Alligator mississippiensis: one gene and its partner. The protein of the gene in region 1 binds, or shares a complex with, the protein of each later gene. Links are inferred from orthologs where the notes say so. Each region holds a gene or a part of one and is shown on either strand. Other genes may lie near its edges.

Evidence for each region.
Region 2: the proteins of FGF23 (region 1) and FGFR4 are in contact, whole or in part, in a cryo-EM structure (PDB 7YSW), measured with the Homo sapiens proteins. The link is inferred for Alligator mississippiensis from reciprocal best matches to the Homo sapiens genes FGF23 and FGFR4. Residues at the interface, in NP_065689.1 of Homo sapiens: Leu32, Gly33, Ser35, Trp36, Gly37, Tyr43, Ala45, Thr46, Ala47, Arg48, Asn49, Ser50, Ile75, Arg76, Ser77, Glu78, Asp79, Ala80, Gly81, Val83, Val84, Tyr93, His117, Gln118, Thr119, Asn122, Gly123, Tyr124, Asp125, Leu158; in NP_001341913.1 of Homo sapiens: Glu156, Lys157, Lys158, Leu159, His160, Ala161, Val162, Pro163, Asn166, Asp240, Leu242, Glu243, Arg244, Ser245, Pro246, Lys272, Val273, Tyr274, Ser275, Asp276, Ala277, Gln278, Pro279, His280, Ala308, Asp309, Ile310, Ser312, Gly336, Asn337.

The regions. Positions count from the first base shown.
Region 1 is NC_081827.1:142,543,015-142,557,959, reverse strand, and holds the start of FGF23 (fibroblast growth factor 23), read left to right. Parts: upstream 1-8,656; 5' UTR 8,657-8,864; coding exon 8,865-9,087; intron 9,088-11,229; coding exon 11,230-11,333; intron 11,334-12,081; coding exon 12,082-12,522; 3' UTR 12,523-14,945. UniProt on the Homo sapiens protein: Regulator of phosphate homeostasis. Inhibits renal tubular phosphate transport by reducing SLC34A1 levels. Up-regulates EGR1 expression in the presence of KL. Acts directly on the parathyroid to decrease PTH secretion. Regulator of vitamin-D metabolism.
Region 2 is NC_081832.1:79,310,010-79,324,784, reverse strand, and holds FGFR4 (fibroblast growth factor receptor 4), read right to left. Parts: upstream 6,597-14,775; 5' UTR 6,555-6,596; coding exon 6,455-6,554; intron 5,801-6,454; coding exon 5,711-5,800; intron 5,369-5,710; coding exon 5,202-5,368; intron 5,033-5,201; coding exon 4,909-5,032; intron 4,370-4,908; coding exon 4,179-4,369; intron 3,889-4,178; coding exon 3,750-3,888; intron 3,668-3,749; coding exon 3,474-3,667; intron 3,333-3,473; coding exon 3,187-3,332; intron 3,105-3,186; coding exon 2,983-3,104; intron 2,849-2,982; coding exon 2,738-2,848; intron 2,564-2,737; coding exon 2,373-2,563; intron 2,105-2,372; coding exon 1,982-2,104; intron 1,905-1,981; coding exon 1,834-1,904; intron 1,598-1,833; coding exon 1,460-1,597; intron 1,378-1,459; coding exon 1,272-1,377; intron 1,122-1,271; coding exon 975-1,121; 3' UTR 600-974; downstream 1-599. Other genes in the region: ZNF346 (zinc finger protein 346), read right to left, coding at 9,874-9,979, 11,402-11,495, 13,822-14,061. UniProt on the Homo sapiens protein: Tyrosine-protein kinase that acts as a cell-surface receptor for fibroblast growth factors and plays a role in the regulation of cell proliferation, differentiation and migration, and in regulation of lipid metabolism, bile acid biosynthesis, glucose uptake, vitamin D metabolism and phosphate homeostasis.

The DNA of each region.
Region 1 (14,945 bases):
ACAGGAGTCCTGCCTCATTCAGTGCAGAAATCTGATTGTGCTCACTTAACAAGCATCTACTCCATATTTTGTTTTATCTTCATGGTCCAGCCTGTGATCCAGCACCTTATTTTACTACATGCTGTTCAAATTCAGCACTGAATACAAATGATCCATTTCCTCATGGGCTTTTCTATGGCACTCATCATTGTGGCATTAATTTACAGAAATGAATGAATTTATGTTCACAACATCCCAGTTAGCTAATGGGATATCACAGTCCTATTTTAATGAGGAATAACTAAAGAAGAGAGAAACAAAGGTGAAATGTTCACCAGTTACAAATGCCCAGTTGAAGATGCCCAGGGGCTTATCTGACCTGTAAGGAGCCCGGTAGTCCAGACTTGGCTCATGGACAACATAAGCTTGTTGACACCTCTGCTCTATATGTTCAAAGTAGTGTTTATAGGGACTTCAGGTGCAGCTGTGAGAGCTCAGAACATCTGCAAGTCGGATTCCTGCATTACAAGTCAGGAACCCAAAAAATAAAAACACAAATTAGCAGCCAATTATGAAAAACACTGGCTTGAATGACTTTCCCAGCCTCACACACAGGAACTCTGTAGCAGAAGGGGGCATGAAATCCAGTTCTCCAGGAAAGCATTCAGTTGCCTTACCCAGGAGCCCATCCTTTCATCTCTTAAAATACCGTGATACATTTCATAGATTTCATAGATATTAGGGCTGGAAGGGACCTCGGAAGATCATCGAGTCCAGCTCCCTGCCCCAGGGGCAGGAAGTCCGCAGGGATCACAGGGTCCCAGCAAGATAAACATCCAGATGACTCTTGAAGGCGTTCAGGGTAGGTGCTTGAACCGCTTTCGGCAGCAGTCTATTCCAAATCTTGGGGGCTCGGATAGTAAAGAAGTTCTTCCTTATGTCCAGCCTGAAAAGATCATGGAGGAGTTTGTGACCTTTTGACCTTGTCATCCCTTGGGGTTCTCTGGTGAACAGATGTTCCCCCAGATCCTGATGAGCACCCCTGATAAACTTATAGGTGGCCACCAGATCACCCCTGAGCCTGCGCTTTTCCAGGCTGAAGAGTCCCATGGCTCTCAGCCTCTCTTCATAAGGTTTGACCTCTGATCATGCGTGTGGCTCTCCTCTGAACTCTCTCAAGCTTCCCCACATCCTTTTTGAATTGTGGAGCCCAAAACTGGATGCAGTACTCCAGCTGTGGCCTCACCAAGGCCGAATACAATGTGAGAATGACCTTATTGCACCCTTTTCAACTTCTGCAGCAAATGAGGCTTGGGTCTTACACATTCAACACCATTGTTACTACATAATCCTGGTCCAGTGTGTTGACATGTTTCATAACCATTTCGACACCTGGTAGGGAAGAGCTCACCTAGCAATTAAGATGTAAGTGGGGGTGGAAATATCCAACAGTAAATCTGATCAGGGTCTTATAACGGGAAGCATCAGATAGCCTTAAATATAGTTGGATCTACCCAACTTGCCAGTACATCTTCACCTAATTTTTGACACTTAACAGGAATTGAATTATACACCACAAAAATAGTTTAAAGCCTGGACATCACCTAGCACAATGTGTTGGCGACCTGACTAGCATCCAAATGTTGCCACAAGCTGAGTATTAATAAAAAACTGTCATGTGTAGTATAGTATATTAAGCTTCCCTGAATACCCCAGCAGCAAAGGCAGCCTGTCAGAAGAGCAGTAATAATCTCATCACTAACCATACTTCCTCCCTCAGGGCCTAAGAAATTACACTGTTGCTGACAAATTGTGACTTGGAAAACATGAATTTAAAGTAATTTAGACAAACCCTGTGGCAAGTGGTGAGAGAAGGAGAACAAGTAATGAGTGACAGGAGTTATAAAATATTGGCCTTGCATCCAATCTTAGTTAATGTCTTCATTAAAGGCCAGCAAGAGGAAATAAATGTCACAGCGTGACATGCCCAAATTATGGTTACTAAAAGGTTTGCAAGTGCCAGCCAAAGCAGAGCGACTCACACCCGGATGGGAAACAACAGAATAGGAGAGAGGGCAATCTGATTACAGAAACCAAAATGACTCCATGGGCTCAGAAAATATGTCCTCACTCTGTGCGGAAGAAGGGTGCCATTACATGTGGGCAGTAAGGGAACAAGCACAAGACAGACTTTGAGAGTATGGGTCAAGAAGGGATTCTGAGAGACACTGAGAGAGAGAGAGACAGAGAGACAGAGAGAGAGAGAATGAGCGTACACACATTGGATATGTAAATTATTGTGAGTAGGTAACATAACAGTATTTTGGATAGGGAAACATGCACCTGCTAATAACAGGGTGCATTTACATGTGCAATTAATGTGAAGCAATAAACTCCAGACTTTATTGCTCTGGTGTTTATTGCTGTTTGAATGTGTGCCGGGGAGCACAGCAGTTTGAGCTGGGTTGGAGCAGCTCTGGCTGGCAGGCAGCCCCCACACTGAAGCACCCTTGTGCTCCAGCCAGCTAGGGAGGCATCTACACGTCCAGTGCTATGGAGTAAAAAACTCTGCAGCAGAATGGTACTTGTATTTACTTGTGTGGATCCACCCACAGTGAAATAGAGCTTATGGGCCTCTTCATCCAACAAACCTAGACTTGAAGAAGAACACTTGATGCCCCAAAGCTTGTCCAGCAGCTGTCTCAACTATAGAGTTGGTCCAAAGATAACACAACAAATTCTTGACTCTCATACATTACCTGGACCATCACAACTACAATAACACTCTAACCCTACTAATCCTATATAATGCATTTTCATAACAAAACACCAAATATTAGTTCATATTTAATGAAAATAAAGGTTGTGCTCCCTACTGCTTATACCTTCTTAGTTCCTACATTACTTAATTGTATCTCCAGTACTGCAATATAAACCACAGACCCTCACAGATTCTGATGTTCCTGCCTCTAGGTCTGTAAACACCACTCAAGCAATATTTCTCATGACACTATGGTAATTAGGCCTCTGGGCCAGACAATCAAGTGGACAATCAGACAAAGAATGTTTTTCATTATTAAGTCATCAAACCCCTAAACAGCTGTTGGTCAAGCTCTTGGCCAAAAGTCTGAGTCAGTTCTTATTTTATCTGATCCTGATTTGCTGACCCTAAGAGCAAGTGTGTTTACTCTTAGGTTATAACAGACGGATGCAGACAAAATGACTTGATCTCATCTGATTCAGAGCTAGTTGGCCAATTTCAACCCCGATGTATCTCATTTTCATTTCAGTGGGAGGACTGTCTTTTTACTCAAGGACTGAATCGGGTCTATTTTAAATAGGTGGTGAAAGATTCATACATTTAAAGCACGCTATTCTTCTCTTTCTTCCAGAGCTGTTACATCCTGGTTTCCTTTTGGACACCCATACTTGCTATTACTGGAATCATAAAGTACCTTTGACTAGATAACATAAATTCCAACAGAACCTATTCTACTCACTTTACTGATCCAAAAAAAAATCAACTCACAGAATTAATGGCCCTTGAACCTAAGTATGAGAAAGAGAATTGACCTAACAGGGAGATTAAGAGTTATTTTGTGCTTTAAGGCTTCCAGGAGAGGAGGCAAACATTGGCATCTGAGTCATTCTAAAAGTGATAGGAGTCTTCAGGGAGGTCCCACCTTCCACAAACCATTGATGGGGATCCTGGAGAAAAGCCTTATAGGAAGCCACAAATTCCAGTGTCCCTCATTGTCATAACTTTAAAGCTAGCAGCCCTTTTCCTCTTCCTACTACTTGAGATATCTGAAGGGAAAAAGGAATTGTCATTTGAGTCCAGTCCTCAGTTCCTGCCTGTCTTTTGGTCTACCAGTTTTCTAGCTCAGCAGTTGGCAAGTAGAAAGAGAGGTGAAAGTCGGACAACGCTACAGGAAGATTCTGAAAACCATAAGATTCTTTCTACATGGGCAAAAGGAAAACCACAAACTCAAACACCACAAACTCAAACACCCTTCTTCTTACAAAAAGCTACCAGAGCCTTTTGGGTAATTACATGGCACGATCAGGAAGAGAAAAACAAAATGAAATGAAATATATACAACATTAAAGTAGCAATGTTGCCGTTTCAGTAAATATTTACATTCATAAGAGATATATTCTACACAAGACCTCTAAAGGTGTATTTAGACTGTGGTCCATGCCAAGTATGATGTAGGCATACCCTAGCTAGCTTTAAAACTAGCTAGCTCATGTACTGATAGCAGCATATCTGCAGCAGCATGGGGCCCAGTAAGGGCTGCAGCACCTGCCTCCAAGAAGCAAAGTACTTGGGCAGATAACCCACAGAGAGCTCTCGGCTGCTGCAGCTACATTGTCCATACTCAAGCTGATGACTTTACAGCTGGCTTGGGTGTGTTTACCCTGAGCTGCAGCCACTGCTGTGGCCGCGGTCTAGACATACCCTGATTTGACTAACCACAGGACAATCAGAGAGGCCAGAAATGGTCTTCTGGTTAGAGATTCTGGCCTCAGACTTGGAAGTTCTTGGTTCAGTCTCTGTCTGTCACAGAGCTCTCAGTCCACCCTGGCCAAGTTACTTAATCCCTCTGTGCTTCTCTCTTCCCGCCTGCCACGTGGAGGGAAAGAAAATCAATGACCCCTTTTTTTGTCCATGTAGAGTGTAAGCCTCTCAGGACAGGGATGACCCATTACAATGAGTTAGCACGGTGGGGCCATAATCTTTGTTGAGGCTGTTCCATGCTACGATAATGCAAATAAAAGTCACAGTAATGATACTGGCATTATGAAGCTGCCACGATTTTTTGAAGTCTTTGAAACAGAGCCAATTTTTTTGAACACTGTACAGGGAGGAAAATCTCTCTCTTGGTCTTTCCCCAGACTATGGCTTGGTCTTCAAGGCACCATGGAGAATGCACCCCATTCCTCTGTCAAACACACATAAAGGACTAGAAAATATAAATTCATATACCAAAATGAAATGTCACACAAACTAATCATATATCAACATTCAATGGAGCATGTGGTTCAACTGGAAAGAAAAAAGAGGAGACAAACAAATATATAAATTACAAACATGCACCTACCTCAAATTCAAACTCAAAGAAAGAAGAAGTGTTTTAAAAAGCAAAAACCTTAAAAAGCAACTCCCCTCTAGGAGTTTGACAAGCTGAGATTTTAAGCAAATTTGCTTTAGCCTGAAGACTTAAACAAACACAGTTCAGCAAAATCAGGGGCAGCAATGACCCTATTGGAACCTCTGCAAAACGTTGAGCACTGAAATACCCAGCAGTGGCTTTTGCTCCTATGCCACATAGGGAAAGGGACATCTGCCATCCACCAAGATGGAGCTTGAACAAATTCTCCTCAGTGATTTAGCTCTATTTCAAAGAAGGTGAACCTATAAGGTGTGACTGGATGCTTATTAGGCCTGTGTGAAGCAGTTGGCATTCACTTCGGATTTGGCCGATTCGGGGGGAAATGATTCGACTCGGTGATTTGAATCACTGTCCTGATTTGGTTCGGCCGAATCTGATTCAGAGATTCGGCAGCAGCAGAATCTCCAAATCAGCCAGGCCAGGCCCACCCCCCACCCCTCTCCCAGCCCAGCAATGGCCACCTGTCTGCCCTAGCTCTCAGCACTCAGGGGGAAAAAAAGCCCCTGTTCAACAGGTGCTGCTGGGTGGGGGGGGGCAATCCCGGCTGCCCCCTGCTACCCCCCGCTGTGTGGGGTGCTCTGCATGAGCCCCCGAACCCCCAGCCCCCTCACAGATGCCCTGCATGGGCCAGCTCCGGCCCTTTAAGAAAAAAAAACCTGAAGAAACCCCAAGACTCACCGCTGCCGGCAGGGGGCGATCCCCACTGCCCCACCCACGTGGGGGCTCTGCAGGAGCCCCAGAAGCCCCCGGGCTGCATGAGGAGCGGTGAGTCCCAGGGCTTTTCTCAGCTTTTTTTTTTTTCTTAAAGGGCCAGAGCCCTGGCAGGTGGGGCAGCTGTGGGGGGGGGGGTGGAGGGGGCTCGTGCAGAGTCCCCCATGCAGTGTGGGCCAGTGGGAATTGTCCCCTGCCCGGCAGCATCTGGTGAGCACCAGGACTTTTTTTTTTAAGTATGAGCTTGGGGGGGGGGAACAGCAATGGGGGGGTGCTCTGGGAGTGGGCAGGGGCCGGGGGGGGGGGCTGGCAGGGGTCCCCCCCCATGGTCCTCTCCCACATCCCCCAGTCCCTCCTCCCCTGCCCCTAGTACTTACTAGATCCAAGCGGCTGCAGTTCCCTGTTGGAGCCACCAGGGACTGCCCAAATCATTAAACCTCTCCGAATCTTTGCCGAAGGTTTGGAGAGCTTTGAATTGATTCGGAACTTTAAATGAGTCCCCTGATTCAATTTGTATTCAGAGATTTGGCCACTGAATCGGGTCTAATCTCCTCCGAATCGAATCACCACCCAAAGCTTCGCACAGTCCTAATGCTTATGTGGATAAGCAGAGCATACCATAGAATAGGTGCTGAACAGTTTTATCCAGGATTTAAAATTTTACCCCACAGGTTGTAAATCAATCTCTAACTATCAGCAATTAGGAGACAGCCATGCCTACATAGGAAGTTCACTAAGCCAGGAAGCAGGCCCTTAAACCAAGTTGCACTGCTCCACATAGTGCATCCTCCAAAGACAGAAGGAGTGTAGCCACCTCTGCACATCACTTCAAGTGGACTAGTGAGCTTGAGAGTTGGACTGATGTGTCATGTCACATAGCAATGCAAAGCTGTCACAGGATGTGGCCACACTCTTTCTGATGGGTGAAACAGCACTGTGTATTTGTGGGCACAACTTCCTCACATGTGTTTTTCCATACAGATGTGCCCTCAGAGGGAAGACACATTCACCTACTCCAGGGTTGCTTGCACCTGTCTGAGAAGTGTCTGGAGCTAGATACCGTCTCTGACACTGGCTTGAACTACATGGGGCAGCAACTGGGTGGGGGGAGAGCAGGGAGTGGTTGAGCAGGGGGAAATACCTGTGCTCTAATAGCAACCTGAAGAGCTCCCCATCAAACAATCCTAACATAGATAAAAACACTGATCAGCCCATTCTCACACTACATGGAATTCCTGAATGAAAGGAAAGATTATCAATCCCTGCGGTCACTACACCCTAAAACCTCCTTGTATGAAACGTTAGGAAGCATTTCCACAGTGGGTATCGATCGATGGAGCTTCATCAATTTGCTCCACTGTGGGGCCCGACATTGCACATTTGGGGCCAGAATTTTGCTATCATTTACACAGGTGTGTACACAGATGTGGCATCAGTCAAGATTTACATAGGTGTGTCTGAGTAGGATTTGGCACTAAGATGCTTGTTTTAAATAGTTACTGAACAGCAAAACATACTGGGACAGATTCCATGATACTGGTATAAAGCTAAAATAATTTGACTGACTTTGATGGCATTGCTCCAGATTAATCAACTGAAACCAAGAATTTGGTGCATCAGATGGAAGGAGATTCTGGGAACCTTTCTCTGTGTCTGCTTGAAAACGTACATGTTACAAAGCGTAATTGGGTTTCTCTAAATGAGAAAGACAAATCTATTTTTTTCCACCAATTCTTGCATTTTATTCTGTGTCTTTGAAAGCAACTTTAGCATAACCTAGATTCACAGATTCTCTGTGCTATCAGTTTCCTTTCCTATTTGCATGATTTATTTTGATTGCAAGGTAGGAAAGAAAAGTTTGAAATAGGGGAAAAAAAACCCCCAAATGATCGCAACAGCATCAAAATCAGCAAGACAGCTTCACCACTGATCTCGTGTCCAAAATGACATTTTATTAAAGATTTTACTTCAATTTGGCAATGTCCCTTCTATGACTTTGAGAAGATACTTGCTGTATATACAGCCCTAAATGTGCTCATGGGTTAAATAGATCAGATTCAGCTCATATTCACCGGGCTAGTTTGTTTGGCAGGCCAAGAATCTGTAAAAGGAGTGCCATCTCGGTGCTCAAAGCAGGAACGGATAAACAAAATTCTCTTGCCAAGTGCTTTTAGACGCTTCCAGCTGCCTTGTCACTGTAAATCAGGCTATGGAGATGGCTCAAAATGAAGAACTTAAGAGGGAAGAAATAATAAGGAGAGTTTATGTTAAAAGGGCAGATTCTCCCCTCAGCTGCTAGATCAATGCCCAAAGATGGCTCCCCTGGGCCAGTAAACTGCTGATTTTCATCAACATGAGAGCAGAGCCAAGCCCATGCACTTGCACACTTGTCTCTTGAAACAAACTGTGGGCCTGATCCAGCAAAGTGCCTTGACTTTGACTTGAGAGGGAGTTGAGGACATCGGATGCATTTTAGGAAGTTCCCTGTAGTTTTGTCAGCTCAGACAAGAAAAATAGGGAAAAATACATCTGAACCCAGAGGCAAAAAGGGAAATGAACACTGTAGCATTTGAGTCATACAGTACAATAATGACTTCTCTTTCCTTATTTCTTGGGAAGAGCAGGGGGCAAGAAGCTTTCTGATGTCAGTGTTGCAGATAAGAGCTAATCATACATTTAACTGTTGAAGGCTGTCTTTAAAAACCATGTATTCCTTCCGGCCCCCACCCCCGCCACTGCACAGAGGACCTGCCTTTCCCTGGGTCTCAGGACTTGCCTAAAATGTTGCTCTGACAAAAATAAATAAATAAATTGAGGATGTGGACAACAAACTTTTCCTGTGTGATGTCACTTGGTTGCCCTTTATAAGTGGCTGCTAAAAAGCTGGGAACCCATCTGAGGACTCACACTCCAAATACACACAAAGAGGAGGCAGAAAAGAAGGAGTGCAAAGTATCGTGTTTCAGACACAGCACCAGCCACTAAGAAGAGAGCACCATGTTGCAGACCAGTCAGTACAGCCGCCTGGACTTCATGCTCTTTGTCCTGTGCAGCTTGAAGGCTATAGCTGCCTTTCCCAACTCCTCTCCACTGCTGAATCCCAGCTGGGGAAGCACAGATCGTCTGATGCACCTGTACACGTCTACGGAGAAGAACAGCTTTCATCTGCAAATCAACCCTGATGGTTATGTGGATGGGACCCCTCACCAAACCATTTACAGTAAGTAGCTTGTTACACACACAGACCTCCCCTGAACAGGACAGACTCTCTACTTTCAGGGTCTGGGGAAGCATCCTACCTCAGGTGAGACAAAGGAAAGAGAGCTAGAGCAAGGAGGCTGAATAATGCACTGAGATTATTTGGAGACCAGGTATGGGAGATGTACTCGCACGTGGAGAGCAATGGTTAATTAAACGTTTGCATTTTCCCTCCAGATAAAAGGAAAATAGAATTTAGTTAAAGACTATCCTTTTGTAGGGTTGCCAACCCTGTAGGATTTCCCTGGAGTCTCCAGGGATTAGATATAAATCTCCAGGAGACTGCTGAGAGTCACCCAGGAGATAAATGATAGGTCATTCATGAACATAAATATTAAATGCTGAATCTGATTTATACAGGGTTTTAAAAATGTAACAGTAATGTACATTTGCCTTCCTGATGTAAAGTCTATGCACCATAATCAAAAACTGATATACTTAAGCACACAGGCATGGTTACGTTGTGTGTCATGGGTATGTTGGCGTTCCACAAACCTCCTGGAATAGATTCAAACAACCCTGTCCTTTTGTTTAACAAATGAACAAAGCTGCTTAAAACAATTCAAATGACATGACCTTCAGTCTTCATTTTATAAGTAATAAATGCAGGATACCTGTCAAAAACTGCCAGACGCAACTTCTCTCTATAGGAATGTCCCCGGTTTCCTGTCACAACTCAAATTTGTGTTGGACAATGACACATCCAAAGCAGCTTATAAATCTAACCACTACATTTTCTGAGGAAAGTGCAAATAATAGAGGCAAGCAGATTGTGTCCACAAAGCCTGCTGTTGTGAATGGAAGATGGCTAATTTCATCCATGTGTTTGCATGCATAAATTTTCACTTGCAAGTGCATCAACTGTTCCCTTCTTTGAATATCTGCTTGAGAGAAAAGCTTGGGAACTATTCATTTGATCACTGTGTGAGAAATATCCCTGTGCATATGAAATGCATAATTGTATGTCCAACTGTAAATTAAATAATGGAATCTGCAAAAGCCAGGCTATGATGGGTAAACTTTTAACTCCCATTGACTTCTGTGGGACTTCTCATATGTGACTGATCTCCACTGGGACTAAAAGTTTCACAAATTGGCTCAAGGTAATTTATTGTTCTAGCATAATTAAGGGACTCCTCTTTTGCTGTTCAAAACTTACCCTAAGTGCGAAGCCATATATTCAGATGCATTTCGTGACACTTAAAAATCACCCTGGTCATTTCACAACTCAAACGTTAACCTACTAGGAATATTGAGGATTGTTTTCCAACTTATTAATGCAGCATACATCTCCTGATTGATAATGTGTAGATAATAGAGATAAAAGTTTATTTTCTTTTTGGATAAAAGATCTATTGCTTAATTTATGACTTTTTATCAGAAAATAAGCACTGGAACAACTGAACAATGCTACCTGTATTTACTCAAATATAAGACAACCCTGATTATAATATGACCCTCCAATAATTAGATCCTAATATGTAACATTTATAAATTTTATATAATTGTCCAGGTACAGAATATAATTATTGGAGGTTTGTCTTGAATTTGTCCCCTTCTCACAGCTACAGCACGGAAAATAAATTTGGGGGAATCAGCTAACCCCTTTGTCCTTGCCAGCTTCTACCCCCTACTGTCCCTTCCCCCACTCCTTATTGTCAGACCTGCTCTTCCTGAGCACATGAGAGCAAAAAAGTAAATTTGAAAAAATTGACCTTGAAATAAACATAGCTTTAGTGATTTGTATATAACTCCCATAGACTTAGCTCATCCATGTTTGATACATTTTACTTTTTTTTAAACTGTTGCAACTTTTAGCACAGGTACCCCATAAACATAGTTTTAAGTAGCACTTGGGCACCTTAGTTCAAAGCAAAGAGACTCATAATTTATCTATGCTTCATTGGACTGAAATAAAAATACAGGAAAAAAAGTATTTGCTGCACTGGCCTGAAATTAAAGAGAGAGGCCACTTTGGAAAACTGTGATTAACTAAACTTTAAAGTGCCAAGAAAACAGGTTGCAAAGAAAGTTTCAGCTAATTCTTTGTTGAAAGGCAAAACCCTTCCCTGATTTTGGACACTATACTTTTTTTTTTCTGCAGGTGCTCTCATGATCAAAGCTGAAAATGCAGGCTACGTGGTGATAACCGGTGTCAAGAGCGGGTGCTACCTCTGCATGGACATCCAAGGAAATATCTTTGGATCAGTGAGTATTTTTAACCTTCCTGAGACTCGAGTGAAATGCAGAGCAAGTCTTGCCAACTGCTATGGGGCTACCTCCTCTCTGGTGTAAATTTCCATTGTTCCAGTCACTAATCTGAAATATTTACACCAGCCAAGGACCTGGCCATTAGTCTAGAATAACTGTGTTGCTTTTAGTTAGTTATATTAACAGACTTAATTTTTGTGTCAGTTGTGCCAACGCAACTCTCTGCAAAAGCCAAGGGAGCTGCCATGGGATAAACCCAGGCAGGTCCAAATCCATGTCATCTGTGGGTATGTCTGGGAAGACATTGACACCTTCACAGAAGTTATTTTATATGAACAGAGATATAACCTCAAAGACTTGGAGGGACTATGAGTGCTTATCAGATTAACATTTTACTAAGACTTGCTTGCTACTACTTAAAGCCAGGGTCTGAGGAGAGAAATTAGAGTCCAATCCTACAATGCTCTGAGTACATCCTTGATGGTAGCAAGCCTCCTCAGCTCTGATGAGCATCAAGGATGGCTGATAGGCACTTTTACTTGCTGTACTGGCCCCTAGGACCTTTTTAAAAAAACCTGAAGGGCCTAATTCTGCACTTCTTTCTCATGTGAAAGGGCCTGTTGAAGCCAGTGGAGCTCTTCATAAGAGTGAGAACTGCCAGATGTAGCCACTGGTCCCCCTGTTGCCTACTGATACTTGTTAACCCACTGAACCATTAACACTTGCCCTATTTTTGTTTCTTAAGCATTACTTCAATCAAGAGGACTGTGTGTTTAAACAAAGGACACTGGAAAATGGATATGACGTGTACCAGTCTCCCAAGTACCACTTTTTGGTCAGCCTAGGCAGAGCTAAGCAAGTTTTTTTCCCTGGTATGAACCCACCACCTTATTCCCAGTTTTTGTCCAGGAGAAATGAGATCCCTCTAATCCGGTTCAACACGCCTGAACCCCACAGGCACACTAGAAATGCAGATATTGATCCTATGGACCCCCACCAGATGTTGATCCCCCAGAGAAAGATCTCTGCAGTGCAGGCCCTGCCACAACGGTTTCAAAGTAACTTCGCCCACCTGCCCAGAGAGCCCATGCGATTCAATCCAAATGATGTGGTCAACCCAGATGACCCTCATTCCATGATGGATGCAAGGAGGCACGCCAGCCCTCGTTTCTACATTACAAGATAGCGGGGTGTTGCTCCACCATAGACTAGAGACATGGGTGAATATATTAGACAGAAAGAACTGGCTCGTGCCCTAGAAGCTTTGATACCCAATCTCTAACCTTCTTTCACATGGCCTATTAGAAACCTGAAAGATGCTGAATTTGAGTTTTGTTCATGAGAATGACCTGTTACTGGAAAATTGAACAATGTATTTTTACAGATTGGGCTTTATGTTACTTGAAATAAGCTATATTTGCAAGGTAATAATACAAACCACACATTGGAGAGTCCAAATCTCCACTCACTTACCTCAGTGTAAATAAGAAGGAACTCTACCCAAGACTGAGGAATTAATTGTATACAATTCCTAACCAAGGAATTAATTATATACAATTCCTAATGAGGCCTGAGAGATTTGGGTCCTACAGTGTCTAAATTCTAGTGTAGGCAGGGAAATTCACTTCCAAACCACCCTGCAAACTCTAGGACAATGGGTACATAACTGATTGTATTTTATAGAAAACTTCCTTCAATGTATTTTGGTTTGTTAAGATCAGAGTCCAAGTCTCCTTTCACACCAGTGTAAAGCCAAAGTAATTCCACTGATGTTAAAGGAGAGTAAAACTGGAATAATTTTCAGGAGAATTTGGTCCTAAGGAGAAAGAGTTAGTTTGGATACAGTAAGAATTGACCATGCTGAACCCATACTGAAATTACTTTGGGGTCTGGAAACGCTCTGGCAGTCTTTTACTCTTTTTATTCATAGTTCCTTCTATATTGTGCTCCCTGCAGTCAGCCAAGGTCTAGGGCAGAAGTGTAGGGAAATAAAATGAAGAAAAGTTTTTTTGCAGTATTTCCAACCCAGAGAGCAAGAAGTTCCAAAAAATAACAGGTATGACACAACTGTATCCACCAGGTTAATGTTTTTGGTATGTATACTACTTAACTCTATTGGAGAAAATCATAGTTGCTCAGTTGCATGTCATAGGCCCTGCACAGCTCTAACTGGTAATAGAGATACTCCTCTAACTAGAGTCTGTCAGGATGAGTATTTCTGGAGTGGAAGACTTGAATTCTATCCCAGCTGTTTCCTTGAAGGTCCAAGAGGGCCATATCATGCTGCAGAGTTGTACAGGGAAGTCCCTACATGGTATTGTCCCTACACAGCATTGTTTCCTACAATAAGTTATACTTTTATCTTAAGATCTGCAAGTATTGGGAAAAAACACTCCTTCTGTGATTTCCAGCCTGGTTCAATCTAGATGGATTGGTAAACACTCTAGATAAGCTCACTTATCAGAACTGAGCCTCTCTCTTGAGGTCTGCCCAAAGTTAAAATGTAGTTTCACCAACAGATAAATGGAAAATTCTGGATGGACAAACCACAGAGGAGAGGTCTGATGGAGTTTTTATACTTTTCTAAATTTTTATTTGTTCCCATAGATCTGCAAGACAGGATTGGAAAAGATCCCAAATAAGGTTCTCTTGTGATGAGCTTCTCTGGTACTTCCTGCTTCTGATAAAGCTAGAAACACTCTTAAGATTAACTTGGTAATTTAGCAACTGGTCTCAAAATAATTAAGAGCAGGAGAGGGAACAGATATGAAAGACAATTTGAAACATGTATTCCAAACTCCAAAAAAAAGACTGGGTTTTAGGTCAAGATGCTGGTCAAAACAGTTCTTTTTGTATCCAAACTCCTTAAGACAGCGAAGCCTTACCTTCAGACTGGCTAGCTATCCTGAAGGGAAAGTACCTGGGATGCACCAGGTGCTGTACTCTTATGCAAAACAGTCTCTTCCTGGATCAAATGATTCAGTGCAGGAGTGGCAGCAAGTGGCTCCTACTCCCGTGTTCTTCAGTGTAGCGGAATTAGGTCCTTTGCACAGAACATGGAGACAGGTGTCAAACAAACTATGCTTTGCTTGCAGGAATATTTAAGTATGACTTACTTCAGTGGAGCTCTACCAGGGATTAATCTAACTCATTATCTTTAAACACAAAGAGGGAGATGATAGAAACATTAACTCTAAGCCTTGCCCTGCTTTCTTAATGCTTCTCCTGCTGTTACAATTGCTTAAGAAACTAGGTGTGAGGAGTACTGGTAACCACTTGCACTGAGTGGATTCTGACCAGCAACCTGGTTGGTGCTGTGCATCCTAAATAGGTTTTCTAGCTTTGGAAGAGTTTCTGCCCAAAGATAACTTTGGAGCAGAACTTCTCATTCTCTCTAAATCCGCAGCTGGAGGAAATCCACAGAGCTCCACTGACTTCAAAAGAGCTACACTGATTTGGACCAGCTAAGAGAACTGACCCAGTATCTATATTTAATGGTTTTACCATGTCCTTTTTTTCATGCCTGATTCTGATCTCACTTACATGGGTTTTCAATCTATGGAGCTATGCCACACACGCACTGGAAGTGGGGAGAAATCAGAAGCAGGC
Region 2 (14,775 bases), on another chromosome or scaffold:
GTCCGGGCAGGCACGGGCCCCTTCCCCTCCCCCCGGCCCGGCCTGGCCCTGGCAGTGGAGAAGCAGCCCCAGGCCCCTGGGCTGGGGGCTGCGCCCGGCAGGTGGGCAGGGAGAGCAGGGGGAGGGGAGCAGAGGCTCGTTCCCAGCCCTGGCCATGGCAGTTGCCAGATCGGTTTCAGGGCGACGCGGGCAGCGGCGTTCACGGTGGCTTAGCGGGGCAGCGGCTAATGCACAACAGCTGCATAGCTCTTTGTGCATGGGCCAGCCCTGCCCCCGCGCCAAGGAGGGGGCACAGGTGCACACGCAGCCGACACGCCTGGGCACCACATGCACATGCCTGGGTGCAGCCCCTGTCCCGAGCAGGGAGCGAGTGCCAGGACTGGGCAGCACTACACGCATGCAGCAGCCCTGGAGCCCAGCCCTTGCAGGGGCAGTGGGGGAGCGGGGGCAGCCCCACAGCAGGAAGGGGCAGCACATGGGGAGGGGGGAAACCAGGCTACAAGGCCCTTGAGGAGAAACCTTCATGCTGCCCCTTTGAGAGGGGCCTTGGGGTCAGGCCGTCCGGTGGCTGTGGCCCCAAAACCGCCAGCACGAGGGTCTTACTCCAAAAAATAATTTATCGAGGCTGCCGGACGCGCACAGATATAAATATCCTCTGGGACACAAAGAGGGGGCCTGGGCCCACCAGTGAGAGGAGAGGCACTGTAGAGTCCGTGGAGCGGGCAGGCAGCCCGCAGGGCCCGCATGCAGCTCCCCGGTGCCTGGCACTGCCCCACATGGACCCGCTCCCTCTGCTGTGCCCATGGGGACAGCCCAGGCAGGAAGCAGGGGCATCACGGGGCAGCCACGGAGAAGTCCTGTCCCTGGGGCAGCTGCTTGCAGTCCTCCTGGGAGCGCACCGGGCCCCAGCGCTGGGTGGCACCAACCACTGGGCCCTGGTGCTATCAGCAGCTCTGCCAGGTGCCTGCAGGGCCTCATGTCCGGGCACCGGGGTAGGTGAAGAGGCAGGGCGCCAGGGGCAGGGGATCGTGGGTGAAGACAGAGTCGTCAGAGGAGCAGGTGCTGGTGGTGTCCTCACAGGAGGGCGAGTACTGCTCGAAGGGCATGGACAGGTCCAGGTACTGCGGGAGAGACGGGCATAAATGCCCGGGTAGAGCTGCAGCCCCATTGCCCCCATCCCAGGGGCCGAGCTGGGACCATGTGCACTCGCCCGTGGCCAAGCAGGGTCCAGCCTGTGCCCCCGGGAAGCCGCCTGCACCTCCCGGCCCTACCTCCTCGGAGACAGCGGCCAAGATCTTGTCCAGCGCCTCCACCAGCTGCTTGAAGGTGGGGCGCTGCGAGGGCGCGGCATGCCAGCACTCCCGCATCAGCATGTACCTGCAGGGGGGAGCCATCAGCCTGCGGGTCCCACACCCCCGCTCCCGGCTGCAGGGGCACCCCCAGCCCCGGAGGTACTCACAGCTCGTGGGTGCAGTTGGCCGGCTTGTCCATGCGGTGCCCTTCGCGCAGGAGCTTGAAGAGCTCCTCCACGGGGATGCCGGGGTAGGGTGACCCGCCCAGCGTGAAGATCTCCCACATCAGGATGCCAAATGACCACCTGCAATGCCACCCGACGTCAGGGCTGGGGGAGGCCATGGCCGTGGCCCAGGTGCACCCCCCGGGTGCTTGCAGGGACTCTGTCTCTGAGGGCCATGCCTGACTGTCCATCCCGCAGCCTCCGAACCCACCCGCCTGGACAGGCACCCACCGCCTTTGGCCCCTACGGCCAGGGCAGTCCTGAGCACGCTGCCAGGCCTCGCCCGGCCCCATTGCTGCCCGCACCACAGCACTCACACGTCGCTCTGGTGCGTATACACGCGGTCAAACAGGGCCTCTGGCGCCATCCACTTCACTGGCAGGCGGCCCTACAGGGACAGGCAGACCTCAGCCCCGTGTGCCAGCGCTGCCTGCTCCCAGACCCCTCCCTGGCCCCCACGCTCACGTTGCTCGTCTTCTTGTAGTAGTCGATGTCGTGGACGTCGCGGGCCAGTCCAAAGTCAGCGATCTTCATCACGTTCTCCTCTGTCACCAGCACGTTGCGGGCGGCCAGGTCTCGGTGGATGCACTGCAGTGAGATGGGTCCTCAGAGCGGGGGGCACCAGAGCAGCACCTCTCCCTACCCCTACCCCTACCCCTGCACGGGACCAAAAGCCTCCCGCAAAGGGACAGGCCATAGCCCTGGCATCACGAGGGGCCTGGAGCCAGGCCTGGCAGCCCCCTGGTGCAGTGGGGAGCACCCAGGTGCTGTTCCCTGCCTCGTTGGGCAGCATGAGCATGGCGCCGGGCCCCACCCCACAGACCCACTGCCACCCCCGAGCCAGACCGGGCCTCACCCGCTTGGACTCCAGGTACTCCATGCCGCGGGCCACCTGGTAGACGCAGGACACGAGGTCCTTGAAGGAGAGCTGCTCGTCGGGGAGGCGGGCGGCATTGAAGGCGTAGTCGGGTGTGGGTGGGCGCCGGGCGCGCAGGAACTCCCGCAGGTTCCCCTTGGCGGCGAACTCCACGATGACATACAGTGGCCCTGTGCGGTGCGGGGGCACCCGTCAGTGCCGTGGCCAGACTGACTGCACAGCCCTGCCCCTCCCCACCCCATAGCGCTGAGAGCAGTTGCCTGTAGTGCTCTCCAGCCCCTGCACAGCAGTGCCCACACCAGGGGTGCGGCCCCCCAGCATGGCCGTGCCCCCAAGCCCCTCACCGTCCTGCGTGCAGACCCCCAGCAGGTTGATGATGTTCTTGTGCTTGTCCATCAGCTTCATCATCTCCATCTCTGAGATCAGGTCGGCCAAGTCCTTGTCCGTGGCGCTGTCTGGGGAGGTGTGAGAAGAGGGTCCCTGGGCTGGGGGCCTGGGCACAGCCTGAGCTCCCCATGTGCATGCACACACATACACACATGCACACGCATGTGCACACACAGGCACGCACCCCACAGGGCACCAGTACCTTTGAGCATCTTGACGGCCACTGTGACTGCTCTCTCGGGCTGGTCACGGTCGATGCCATAGGCCTCTGCCCGCACCACCTGCCCGAAGCAGCCTTCCCCCAGGGGCTTGCTGAGTGCCAGCCTGTGGGACAGAGCATGGGACTGAGCCCTGGACACAGCCCCAGACAGGGCACCCCTTTCCCCCACCCCGCGGCCCCCCATACTTGTCACGGGGGAACTCCCACATGGAGTCCAGGGGCAGCTCGAGCTCCAGGACGCCGGCCAGCATCGGGGTGCAGCTGGACGACAGGCGGGTGACGCGCATCAAGGACGTGCTGGACTTCCCCGAGGAGCTCGAGTCCAGCGAGAACTGCGGGGCAACCGTGGAGCCCATTACTGCCGGGCCTGGGGCGGGTGCAGGCCGGGGAGCCGGCAGGGCCCTGCCCTGCAGCCGGGCACTCACGCCCACCAGGTCCAGCCCTCCCCATGCCCACAGGGTGCCTGCACGCACCTGCCTCATGAGCGGGAACTTGGAGAGCTTGTGGACGGGCACGGGCTCCAGGGGCTGCTTGCTCGGCCGCGTCTGCATCCGGCACAGGACCATGATGACGGCCGCCATGACGACGGCCAGGGAGCCCGACGTGTAGATGATGATGTCGGTGTACTTGACCTCCGGGGCCTCCACCTCCCAGGCCCACTCCTCGTCTGGGCACAGCAAGCCTGCCGTCAGCCTGGGCTCCTGGGCCATGGCCGCGGCCTCCCTCCCCCAGCCCAGGCCGGCCCGTACCTGGGAGCACGGTGAGCCAGGCCGACTGGTGGGACAGGCCGATGGAGTTCCCAGCCAGGCAGGTGTACTCGCCAGCGTCCTCCATGGAGACGTTGCGCAGATACAGCACCTCAATCCCCGAGCTGTTGATGTCGGCAGTCTGGGGGGCAGCAGCGCCAGGGTCATCCCCCTCCAGAACAGGCCCCGGGTCCAGGGAAGTCTCCCCGGCCCCCAGCCCCCACCCCTCTCGCCTTGCTCAGAGGCAGGACGCAGCCCTGATTCTCCCAGGACCCCCAGCTCCACCTGTTCCCTGGTGCCCGGCTGCCTCCCACTGCTCCCCAGAGCCCTGCGTCATGTGGGCTCAGCTCCTCAGGGCACCACGGGGTCTGCCCAGCAGCAATCAGGCCTGGCCGGGTCCACATGATGCCCCCGCGCCCTCTCCTCTGGTACCTTGAGCACTTGGACGTAGGGGATGCCGTCGGGGCCGTAGCTGCTGCCGTTCAGCTTGATGTGCTTGAGCCACTGGATGTGGGGCTGGGCGTCGCTGTACACCTTGCAGAAGAACTCCACGTCGCTGCCTGCCTGGGCCGTGGTGTTGGCCGGCAGCCCGGCCTGCAGGATGGGCCTGTGCGGGGACCGCTCTGCCGGAAGTGGGGTGCGTCAGCCAACGGGGCTGCACCCGGCTGGGCCCTGCCCTCCTCTGGCACCTCGCCCATGGACCGGGGGCACCATGGCCTGGGAAACCTCTGCCCCACAGAACCAGAGGCCCCCAGTCAGCCCACCCATCTGTCCCTCCCCACGGGGCTGTGGATCCTCGGGCCCCCCCTGCCTGCCCGGTCCATCCCCGCCCGCCGGCCCGGCCCTGATAAGGAGCAGTGGGGGGGGGGGGGGTGCTGGTATGCTGGCTCCTTGCTTTGGACTTTACAACCCCGACGCTCCCAGAGGCCCTTTGAAGTTTGCAGAGGGATCAATGACCTCTTATCTCCCAGCTCCCAAGGGCAACAGCAAGGCCCTGATGCAGCGCCAGGAGCTGCACGGGAGGGGCCCAACTCAGGCAGCCCACGTAGGAGCAGAGCCTTCCCTGGGGGTCTGCGCCAGCTGAGAGGCCCCTTCCTTGCAGGCTTCCTGCTGGGGGAGGACCCCAGGATCAGCCCCCCGTGCTGCCGGCCAGCGGGCTCACCCAGCACGTCCAGCAGGTAGCTGTAGCGGATCCTGCCAAACTTGTTCTCCACCAGGCAGGTGTAGTTGCCGCGGTCGGAGGGCACCACGCTCTCCATGACCAGGCTCCAGTGCTGGTGCCGCAGCTGGGGGAGAGGACGGGACAGAGCACGGTGAGGGGCAGCTGGCACCTGGGCAGAGCTCTCTGCAGGGCACCCAGCTCCTGGCTGGTGCCTGGCCCGGCAGGGGGGTCGCTACCAGAGGACCTCTGCCACAGGCCCCTGGAGAAGGCAGGGGGCAGCCCCGCTCCCTCACCCGGATGCCGCCGATGCGATGCTCTCCCCGAAACTCATGCCCATTCTTCAGCCAGTGGATGCTGGGGCTGGGGCTCCCTGATGCCGGGCAGCGAAACTTGACGGTGTTGCCCGCGGGCACCGCGTACAGCTTCTTGTCCATGCGGTGGGGGTGCGTCCAGTAGGGCGCTGAGGATGACATGGGTGGCCGTGCCCATTAGCCATGGGGCCGGGACAGCTATGGAGCACGGGAACAGGGTGTGTGTGGGCGGGGGCGGCCAGCTCGCAGTGGGCTCTGCCAAGGCACACGGGTGCTTGGGGCTGCAACGCAGGGCAGGTGCAGGCACAGCTTGCAGGGAGGGGCACAGTGCATGCTCAGCTCTCCCAGGCCAGGGCCTGATCCAGCCGGCCGGCTCAGGGCAGCCACAGTGGAGTGCAAAGGGCCTGGGGGACCGTGTGGTGCTGCCAGGCTGCAGGCAATGGGGACTCCCTGCTCCACAGGGCCTGGGGCAGCCTGGCCACAGCACTGACCTCTGCGGAAGTGCAGGAGCTCCTCGCGCGAATCCCCCTGGGAGATATCCCCGTCCCCATCCTCATCGTCATCGCCTGACGCCAGGGAGTCTGGAACGAAGTGCCGCAGGGTGTCATGCTGCCGCCCGGCACGGGCAGTTTCCCAGCCCTTGCCAGCAGTGGGCACCGTGGAGCAGGGGCAGGAGGGATGGCGCTGCGGACCCCCTGCCCGGCGCCCGGCCCACGCAGCCCCCTGGTCCTCGCCGCCGGCCTCCAGCCGGAGCCGGAGCCGGACGCCCCGGGGCCCGGGCCACGCTGCCCAGCGCGGGGCAGCCAGCCCGGTGCCCGCAGCAGCTTCGCCTGCCCCAGAGCCTCTCCCCTGCGCTCTGCCTCGCGCCCCGGCGCGGCTGGGCCCGTGCCCGGAGCCTGTGCCCGTGGCTCCGCCAGCGGCCCCTCCCGCCCGGCCCGATCCCGCCACCTTCCCGCCCCCTCGAGCCCCTCGGTCCGGCCGGGGGAGTGGCGGGGGCACCGGCAGCCCGCAGCCTCCCCGGGCAGGGCAGGGCAGGGCAGGGCAGAGAGGGCTCCTCCGGTGCCCCCCGACCCAGGCTGTCTTCGCGGGGCCGCCCTGGCAGCAGCCAGGTCTCCCAGGCACCGGCCGCGCGGACCGCGCCACCCGCCGCCCGTGCGCCCCGCGGGCTGCCGCGCTCGGAGGGAGCGCGGAGCCCAGGCGCCCGTCCGCGCCCCGCACACGCGCCCCGCGCCCACCTGGCTCCGCGGGCGGGTCCTCGGGCCCGGCCCCGGCCGCCCGAGCCCCGGCTGCCAGCGCGGCCAGGAGCCCCAGCAGGGCGCACACGCCGGGCTGCATCGTCCCGCGCCCGCGCCCCGCACCGCACCGCCCCGCACCGCGCGGCCAGAGGCAGCCGGTCCCCGCCCCGGCCCGCCCCGGCCGCACGGCCCGCCCCGTCCCGCCCCGCGGGGGCTCCGGCGGGCAGCTGCCGGCAGGGAAGGGTTAATGTTTAACCGGGTGACGAAGGGCTGCGGGGCCGCCCCGAGCCCGGGCAAAGTCCGGCCCGCGCCTCCCTCCCCCCGCGAGGCTGAAGTCGGACGCTCATTCCCGCGGGCTATTACTTTACATACGAAGTAGTGCGTCTGCACGGCGAGCGACGCGCGCTCTCGCTGTAATTCATTAACACCAGGCTTTTATCGGGTCTAGATTAGCGCTGCCAAAGCAGCCGGGAATAAGGAGCGGGGACTAGGCAACCAACTTCACTCGTCCCTCCCCGGCCGGGCTCTCGCTGCTCCGGGCCAGCCCGACCCGAGCCCGCTTCCCCCGCAGGGCCCGGGCAGGTCACCCTGCCCCCGCCCCGGCCGGCAGAGGGGAGCGGGCGGCGGGGCCAGTTAAGCTTTGACCCCGCAGCCGGGGCTGGGGGCGCGGGCGGCCGCTGCCGTGGGGGCACCCGGGCCTGGCCCTGCCTCTGCCCCCGGTAGACAGCGGGCCCCGGGCTGCGGCCGGGGGACCCTCCCCGCGGAGCAGCCAGAGTCCACGGGCACAGCCCGGGCAGGTCTGGGGCAGCGGGCACGGCCCCATCCTGGCTGTGGAGGGCTGGCGGGGCCCGGCGGCTCACTGCAGACTGCAATGCCGCAGGGGCTGGCACGACTCGGCTCGGCTCGGGCGGGCCAGACCCCAGTGCCCCACGGCCCCGACCTGGGGGCTCTGCAGGCCCTCCGCCCCGACCCACAGCCGCTTGCTGTCTGCAGAGGGGCAGCCGGGGCCATGAAGCCCCCTCCTGCCCAGGCAGGAGGAGACCCCTTCACTGCGGGTGCCCGTAGGCCGGGAGGGCAGCTGCCCGGGCCAGGGGCTGCATTGCCGCTGCCTAGGCCAGCTGCAGGCTCCGAGTGGCAGCCTCATGCAGCGGTGCTGGCCCCGGCAGCGGGCTCGGCTGGCACCGCTCCCTAGCAGGGCCGGCAGCCTGCCCTGCCCTTCCTTCCTCCCCCAGGCAACGGCCTGGCCCTGCTGCTGCCCCGGGGCTGCCACCTGGCGGCAGCCGCTGCCCCCGCTCCTAGGGACCAGCCTACAGCCCTCTGCCAGGCCCCGGGTGGCACAGTCCCTGCCTCCTTCCCGGGCCAGCAGCCCATATTGTGGGTGAGAGGCCGGGTGCTGCAGGCAAGGCTGCTTTCCCCTGGGGATGCCCCTGCTAGGCCTGGGCCGCAAGGCCCCAGGGGTCAGCCTGCTTCAGGGGATGCCCAGGTTTGTCTGTGCCCATGTGCGGGCTAGGTGCAGCAGGCAGAGCCCAGTGCTGACCTACCCCCTACTGCACCTGCAGCCCCACGCAGGGGAGAGGGGGCCGGGTGGCCTCATGCTCAGGCTGGCACCTTGTAGTGAGCATGAGCAGGCTCCGAGTCCTGGCCTGCAGCATCTCAGGGCTGTGGAAATGTCTTCACCTTGGTGGGGCTGACAGCAGGACCCAGCTTTGGCCTGCCAGCTGTGTCTGCCCCTGCTCTTCCAAGGCTTGGCTGTGGGAGTCACCCCAAAAATGCAGGCAGCTGGTTTTCCACCCAGCATAGCAGTAGTCCCTGGCTGTCCCTCAGGCAAGGCCATACAGGGCAATCAACACGCCCTGGCTGTGCCCAGTGCCGCAAACACACACACGCAGCTTGTAACAAACAGGCTCTATTCTGAGAACTGATGCCTGGGGACGTGGACACGGCGGGTGGCCTCCAAGGAGGTGGAACAGAGCAGTGGGGACACGTGGAGTGAGGTGCACAGCCTGTGGCAGAGCCTAGGCCCTTGCAGGGTGCCAGGAGCACAGCTGAGATGGGAGCTATGGGCTAGGGCATAGCCTGCCACACATCAGTGCTCTCTCTGGGTCAGCAGCACCTAATGCATTGGGTTGTGAGGGCTCAAGGGCTCCTGGGGAAGGTGCCAAGCCCAGACACCAGACACATGGCAAGGCTCAGAGCAGCAGGCGCCTGCACAGGGGAGGGAAGCAGGTGCCAAGGGAGAGGGTGGATACCTGCTCTGTGATGGTGGAGGGCACCAGCGCAGCCAGAGGCAGCATCCAGCTCCAGCCCCTGCCTGGGGCCTTCACTGCAAGGGCACAGCCAGTGCCAATGTCATGATCAGGCCCCATCCAGGCCAGGCACAGCAGCATGCAGGTGTGTCTGGACTGCCGCTTGCTTTGCCCGCTCAGCTGTCACACCCCTCGCCTGTGCTGGGTAAGCCGGAGCCCAGAGGCATGTCTTCCTCCTTAGCAGGGGGCTTCCTGCCAAGCAGGGGAAGCAGCATCACGCACCTGTACGGTTGAGGCTGCCCCAGGACCCACAGTCCAGGCCTCATGAGACAGGGAGCAGCAGGGAGGAGCCGTGGCCCTTCATGACCTGCCTGCTCAGCTCAGCCTGGCGCAGGCACTGCCCTGGCAGGGAGGGGGATACCACAGGGAGAGGACGAGGCGCATACAAACTGGATTCAAAATGCAACGAGGGGGCTGTGCTGCCCACTCTTCCTGCAGGGGCCTCCTCCAGCAGAGCCCTGCCCTGCCAGCAGCTGGAGGGGCATGCACAGAGCGCGGAGAGCACTGGCGGAGAAGGCTGGGCCACCCCCGAACTTCCAAGTTGGGAGGGCAGCAAGTATGCAGCAACCTCCAGAGCCAGGCAGCTCCATCGCTGCACCCAGGGGTTGCACAGCACGTGCTGCAACTGGGGGTGACGGGTCAGGGCTCCAGGATGCCGACAGCATCCCAGCAGCAGGGAAGGGCTGGACAAGCGCAGCCCTGAAAGGCTGGGTCCGTATGTGCTGCCAAGGGTGCAATCCAGTGGCCCCTGGGCACAGCTCCCGGAGCCTTGGCCCAGGCGGCTGCTTGGCAGACACAGGAACTTGCTGCGGCGTTGTAGGGGTTGGGAGGGGACCGGAGACAGGCTGTTCGCAGCTGAAACCCTCCTGGCCCAAAAGCCCCTTGCCTCCTTCCCCTCCCCAAGAAGAAATGCCAAGCGCTGGCTAGACAGACTAAGGGCTGAGTTAGGCTGTCTGGAGTCTGCTTCGGCAAGCCCCTCTCCCAAGCCATGGGCAGCGCAGGTTCTGCTCGCCAGGTCCTGCCCATCCTGGGGACAAGGAAATCGTTGTGGGCTGGCAAAGGATGTTTGTTCTTGGAGCACCAGTTGGGCCCAGGGCAGCTCTGCAGCCGGCTCTAGAAGTCTTGGCTGAAGTAGCTGTAGCCCCCCGGGCTGGTCGACTCTTCCCGGACGTACTGCTGCCTCGGGAACCGGCCCACGACTGGCACCGCTCCTGGCATCCTGCAGGTTGGAGGCAGGGAGAAAACGGCATGTCAGAACTGTCCGGAGTCCATTGCTAACCGCTGCGTGCACGCTGTCGTCACAGAACATGCCACATGGGCACGCGTGTGGAACTCATGGACTGCAACAGCTTTCAGTGACCTGCTGCCACCTCCATGGCAGATCCACCTGAGCTCTGAGTGGCGCCACCGGCCCCCGGTAAGTAAGCAGGCCTGTCAAGCACGACTCGTGTTGGGGTTCTCTTCTGGGTCAGGCTGGAGTCCAGCGCATACTGCACCGAGGGCCAGGCCCCCAAAACTGCTTCAGCAAGCACAAGCTTGGCTGCAAGATGTGGAAAGCTTCATTTGTGCCCACAGGTACTGCGGGCTGCTCAGAGCTCAGCTCCCTGCTCCCAGAATTGCTCTAGAAGGGGCTGGCATGGCTCGGCATGGCCAGAGCAAGGCTCCAGCGTGGGCAGACACCATCGCGGGGCCAGGCATTGCACTGTTAGTTAAGCAGCAAGCAAGGCAGACAGTGTCTGTGTGTGTAGGGATGCAGGTTGTCAGGCACTGGGGGTGGGGGGGTCCTGACTCAGGCATTTTCTTGGCGCACACATGGCTCTGCAAAGCAAGTGACCTCCGCCATCGAGGTTGCACAGCCCACAGCTCAGAACAGATGTTGGGAGGTTCTGGCGTCCTTCCAGCCTGCTGGGACAGGAGGGTGCTGCACGTGCAAAACCACCATGGGACCAGGGAAAGAAAAGGTCAATCGTTTCCCTGTCTTGGGTTACTCTGGGTCACCAGGCTGGGCACACACTCTTACCCAACTGATCTAGGCTCTGGAGAATGAGGCCCCAACCTCAGCCAGGTCCAGTCCAGCTGTTTCTGGGGCAACACCAAAAGTGCACCTTCACCTCACAGGTCAGCAACAGAGCAACCCAGTGGCAGGCTCCTGGAGAGACACAGCCTTAGGCTCTACTAGACTTCGGCCTGCTGCCTGCGCCTGTGGGGCATGTTGACACCAGAGAGGGGAGCAGGACAAGTGGTGCAAAGAGCTGGAGCTGCAGCCCCAGCCCCAGCTTGCATCTGTGCTGCAGCAGAACTGCAGCTCCACGACAGTGAGGCTGCGCTGGTCCCTGCAGGCTCTGCTAACACGGTCTGGCTTTGACATCGCCTCTGTCCCCATTCCCAGTTGGCTGCTTGGTGGTTTTAGGGCAGGGCTGGCAAACAGTGCTTTCATGTGGCATCCCGGGCTGCTTGAACTGCATGGACTGAGCACAGAGCAGTGCCAGGGATCACAGCTTGAGAACAGCAGAGCTGACTGGCAGGGACAGGATCATATGGGTCACAATCCCAGTGAAACAGTACCACAAGCCAACGGCATGAATGAAACAGCACTGTGACTCCTGCCCCTGGAATGGCCCCGACACCACAGGTCACTTACTGGTTCTTGTGTTTGAAGCCACTGATGTGAGCCTGGTACTGCTCTATAGAGTTGAGCACGATGTTACAGGTGCTGCAGGGGTACCCCTTCCCAGCTGAAACAGACAGCAATGTTAGTGCACGTGCTAGCCGACAGCGTGGGGCCTCAGGTAAAGAGGTGAGAGAAGCAGTCGCTTGACTTGCTAATTAAACAGCTGCTAAACAAAAAGAAGCACCAAGGAAAGGCCCGGCATTCTGCCCAGCCAAGGGCCTCACAGGCCTGTACTCTGCCCCCTGCTCCCACTGAGCCTCCATATGGGCCAGGAGGTCAGCCAAGGCAGCTGAGCAGCCTGCACCTCAGCTATGAGATGCCACCATTATGGCAACGCAGCTGAGCTCAGGCTCCTTCCGCGAGCTCCGAGCACTCGCAAGCCAGCCTGATCGTGCCCTGCCTCCACAGGTCCCTGCTCTCTAAATCCTCCATCTGCCCTCCTGACTCGTGCACCTTCCTACCAGAGCAGAGGAAGTCACACACGTATCGCTCGAAGCGCCTGGGCAGGCAGCTGCTGAAGAGGAAACGTAACAGCAGGCTGCGACACATCTCCCACTTGCATCGGTGCTCATCTGGAGCGATGAGCTCTGCCCTCTGGCATGTCAACAGCAGTCCATGCTCTCTGCAACCATCCCTGCTTCTCCAGCACCACTGCCCCAGAGATCCTCACCCTGAGTGACATGGCAGCTCCAGCTGGACAGAGCTCTGGTGGGCATGCACTGAACCTCAGTGGGGCTCACTGGCAGAGCTGGCACATGGGACCGCTGCAGACAGTCAACAAGAGGCAAGACGGGCCCCAGCTATTCCCAGCTCTCGGAGTCAGAATGCATGTTCTTTCCGTGTGCACGTAGGGGGACACATGGGATGCAGCAGATGATCCCATCTGGCTGCTGCACTTCAGAGGGCTCAGACTCCTCCGGGCCATTTCACCCTGACAACCGTGGTCCAGCATCTGATCTGAAAGGCCAGAGGGGCACCAGGGTGATCCAGCCTGGCCTTCTGTGACCCATGTTGGACGGTCACTTTTAGATAGCTATATCCCCGTCTCCAAAATCCTGCCTGCAGTGCTCGATATGATGCAAGCTGCATACGTGGGGCACCCTGTGGGAGATCGCTGTTGCACTAGAGAGCTATACCCCATACCCCAGCACCTGGCAGGGACAGAGGGCAAGGAACCCAGCTCCATCTTCACCTGAACTGTAACAGACTGCAACACTAACCCAGGGTTCAATAGAAGCAAAGAAGCAGGCGTCAGCCCAGGAAACCCCTTGACTGCCCAGCTGTTCCCCACCCGAGAGCCCTAGAGCACCTCCCACATTGCACACAGGAGGGAGAGGGAATGCTGCCCTGTGTAAAAGACACCCATCACTCGCTAGTGCTGTCAGTGCCTCAAAAGGTGCCCTGGAAACTATTTGCCACCCTGCTTGGACCATTTGTGTCTCTTTAGGATGGAGAAGGGACCCAAGGGGGTTTCTCTAGATCAGTGATTCCCAACGTGGTGCCCGTGGGCGCCATGGATAAAACTTCAAAAGAATACAAAGTAAAGGGAAGCTGCATTTTGAAGTTGAGGATCTGATGCAATTTTAAGTAACGGATTGATCTAAATTCTAAACTTTAATATTCATATTGGCGCCCGCTGCTTTTGCTTTTAAATTTGAATGTACCCTTGAGCACACAAACGTTGGGAACTCCTGCTCTCGATGGACTTTCCTGCTTGCTTTTCCCTTGCAGCTCAAGCTGTGATGTCTCTGGCAGAACGGCAGAGCAGCAGGGGCCCAAGAGTTTACTGCCAGCTTTTACCAGCTCCACTGGTCCCTCACAACCTTCTTCCCTCACGCTGGGCACTTTAAGGGAAAGAAGCACTCAGAGGATTGTCAGCTGGCTGAGGAAAGTGCCTCAACTGTAACTGAGCGTCACCTGCGGGCCATGACTGCACGAGCGGGCCACTGGTGGTGGAACTGCCAGCGCAAAGCGGGGCAGAAAGCACTCTGTAAACCCGTCCCTCCATGCAGGTCAGAGCGGCAAGGGGTACACGAGCCTAGGTTTCCCTCCTCTCACAGGTCACCTCCCTGGGGTCTCCTTCCAGCAGCAAGTGCCATCTTCACAGCTGGCACTGGGAACGGTCCCCTCAACTGGGAGCTCAGTGCACTGAGGGGCTCAGGTTACCCATGCAGGCAAGGGAAATAGGCATCGAAATGGACAACCTGAAAAACAGCCTCCAACTGAGGCTTACGTCAGGCACAAACCCCAGCAGCAAGAGGGGTTTTAATGGAACCACCAGGCAATCCTACTCCCTGTGCAAGGCAGGTCTTTCTCCAGGCCTTGCTGTCCCCAGCCTGCCCACAGGTCCCCACCCCCACCTGGCACAGGCGCGGCTGGCAAGGACTCACCAGCAGAGGTGGCGGCAGGAGCATCGGGGGTACGGCCGTAGTGCGCCATCAGCTTGAGTTTGGTCTCCTGCTTCCTGTGCTTCTTGCCTGTGTAGTGCTGCTTGGCCATGAGTGGGTTGTTGAAGGTAGCGTGACAGAGGCTGCAGAACTTGTCTGGGTCGGCCGTGCACTTGGTCTCCTCGTTAGAGGGCACCGCGGCAGGAGGGAGCTGAGCGGGGCGTTTCTGTGAAGGTGCAGCCGCTGGGGAGCAAAGCCCAGCCCTGTCAGCGATGGCTGGCACAGCCCCCGCGCCACACCAGGCAGTACCCACGGGCGCTGCTACCGGGGCAGGCAACGCCCACAGCGCGGCTCGGACCAGTCTCCGTACAGGGGTCGCTCGCCTCCTCCTCTCACCCCCGTCACACTCGCACGGCAACTGTGCCCCTTAGCGTCGGCCAAGGGGATTCTCCTGGCTCAGACCTGCAGCTTCCTTCCGACAGACCTGGCCCCGCAGCGAGCAACGGGCACGTTTAAAGGGCACTGGGAACAAGTCGCCTTCCAGCCACAAGCACAGCCTGGGCAAAGGAGAGGGGGGTGGCAGGCAGCTCCGAGGGAGAACAGAGAACGGGTGTAAAACCTCACGTCTCCGCACTATCGAGGGTTCCCTCCACGCGCCGCGGGTCCCGCCAGCGTCCCTTTCTACGTCCGCTCGTGTGATCCGAGCCCAGCCCCAAACGCGAGGGGAGCAGCTGGCAAAGCCGGCTCCCTCCCAGGACGCGTCACGCACGAGACCTGGGCCACCTGGGCGCTCCGCACGCCCGCTCCTCCTCCTGGGAGAGCTGTGGCCACGCCGCCAGGGCCCGGCGCGGAGCGGGAGCGGGGTCCTGCCGGCCCACAGGGCTCCCCACGTCTGACAGCTCTCGCGCCGTCAGGAGGCTCCACGGACACGCGGACCGCGCCCACCCGGCCCCTCGG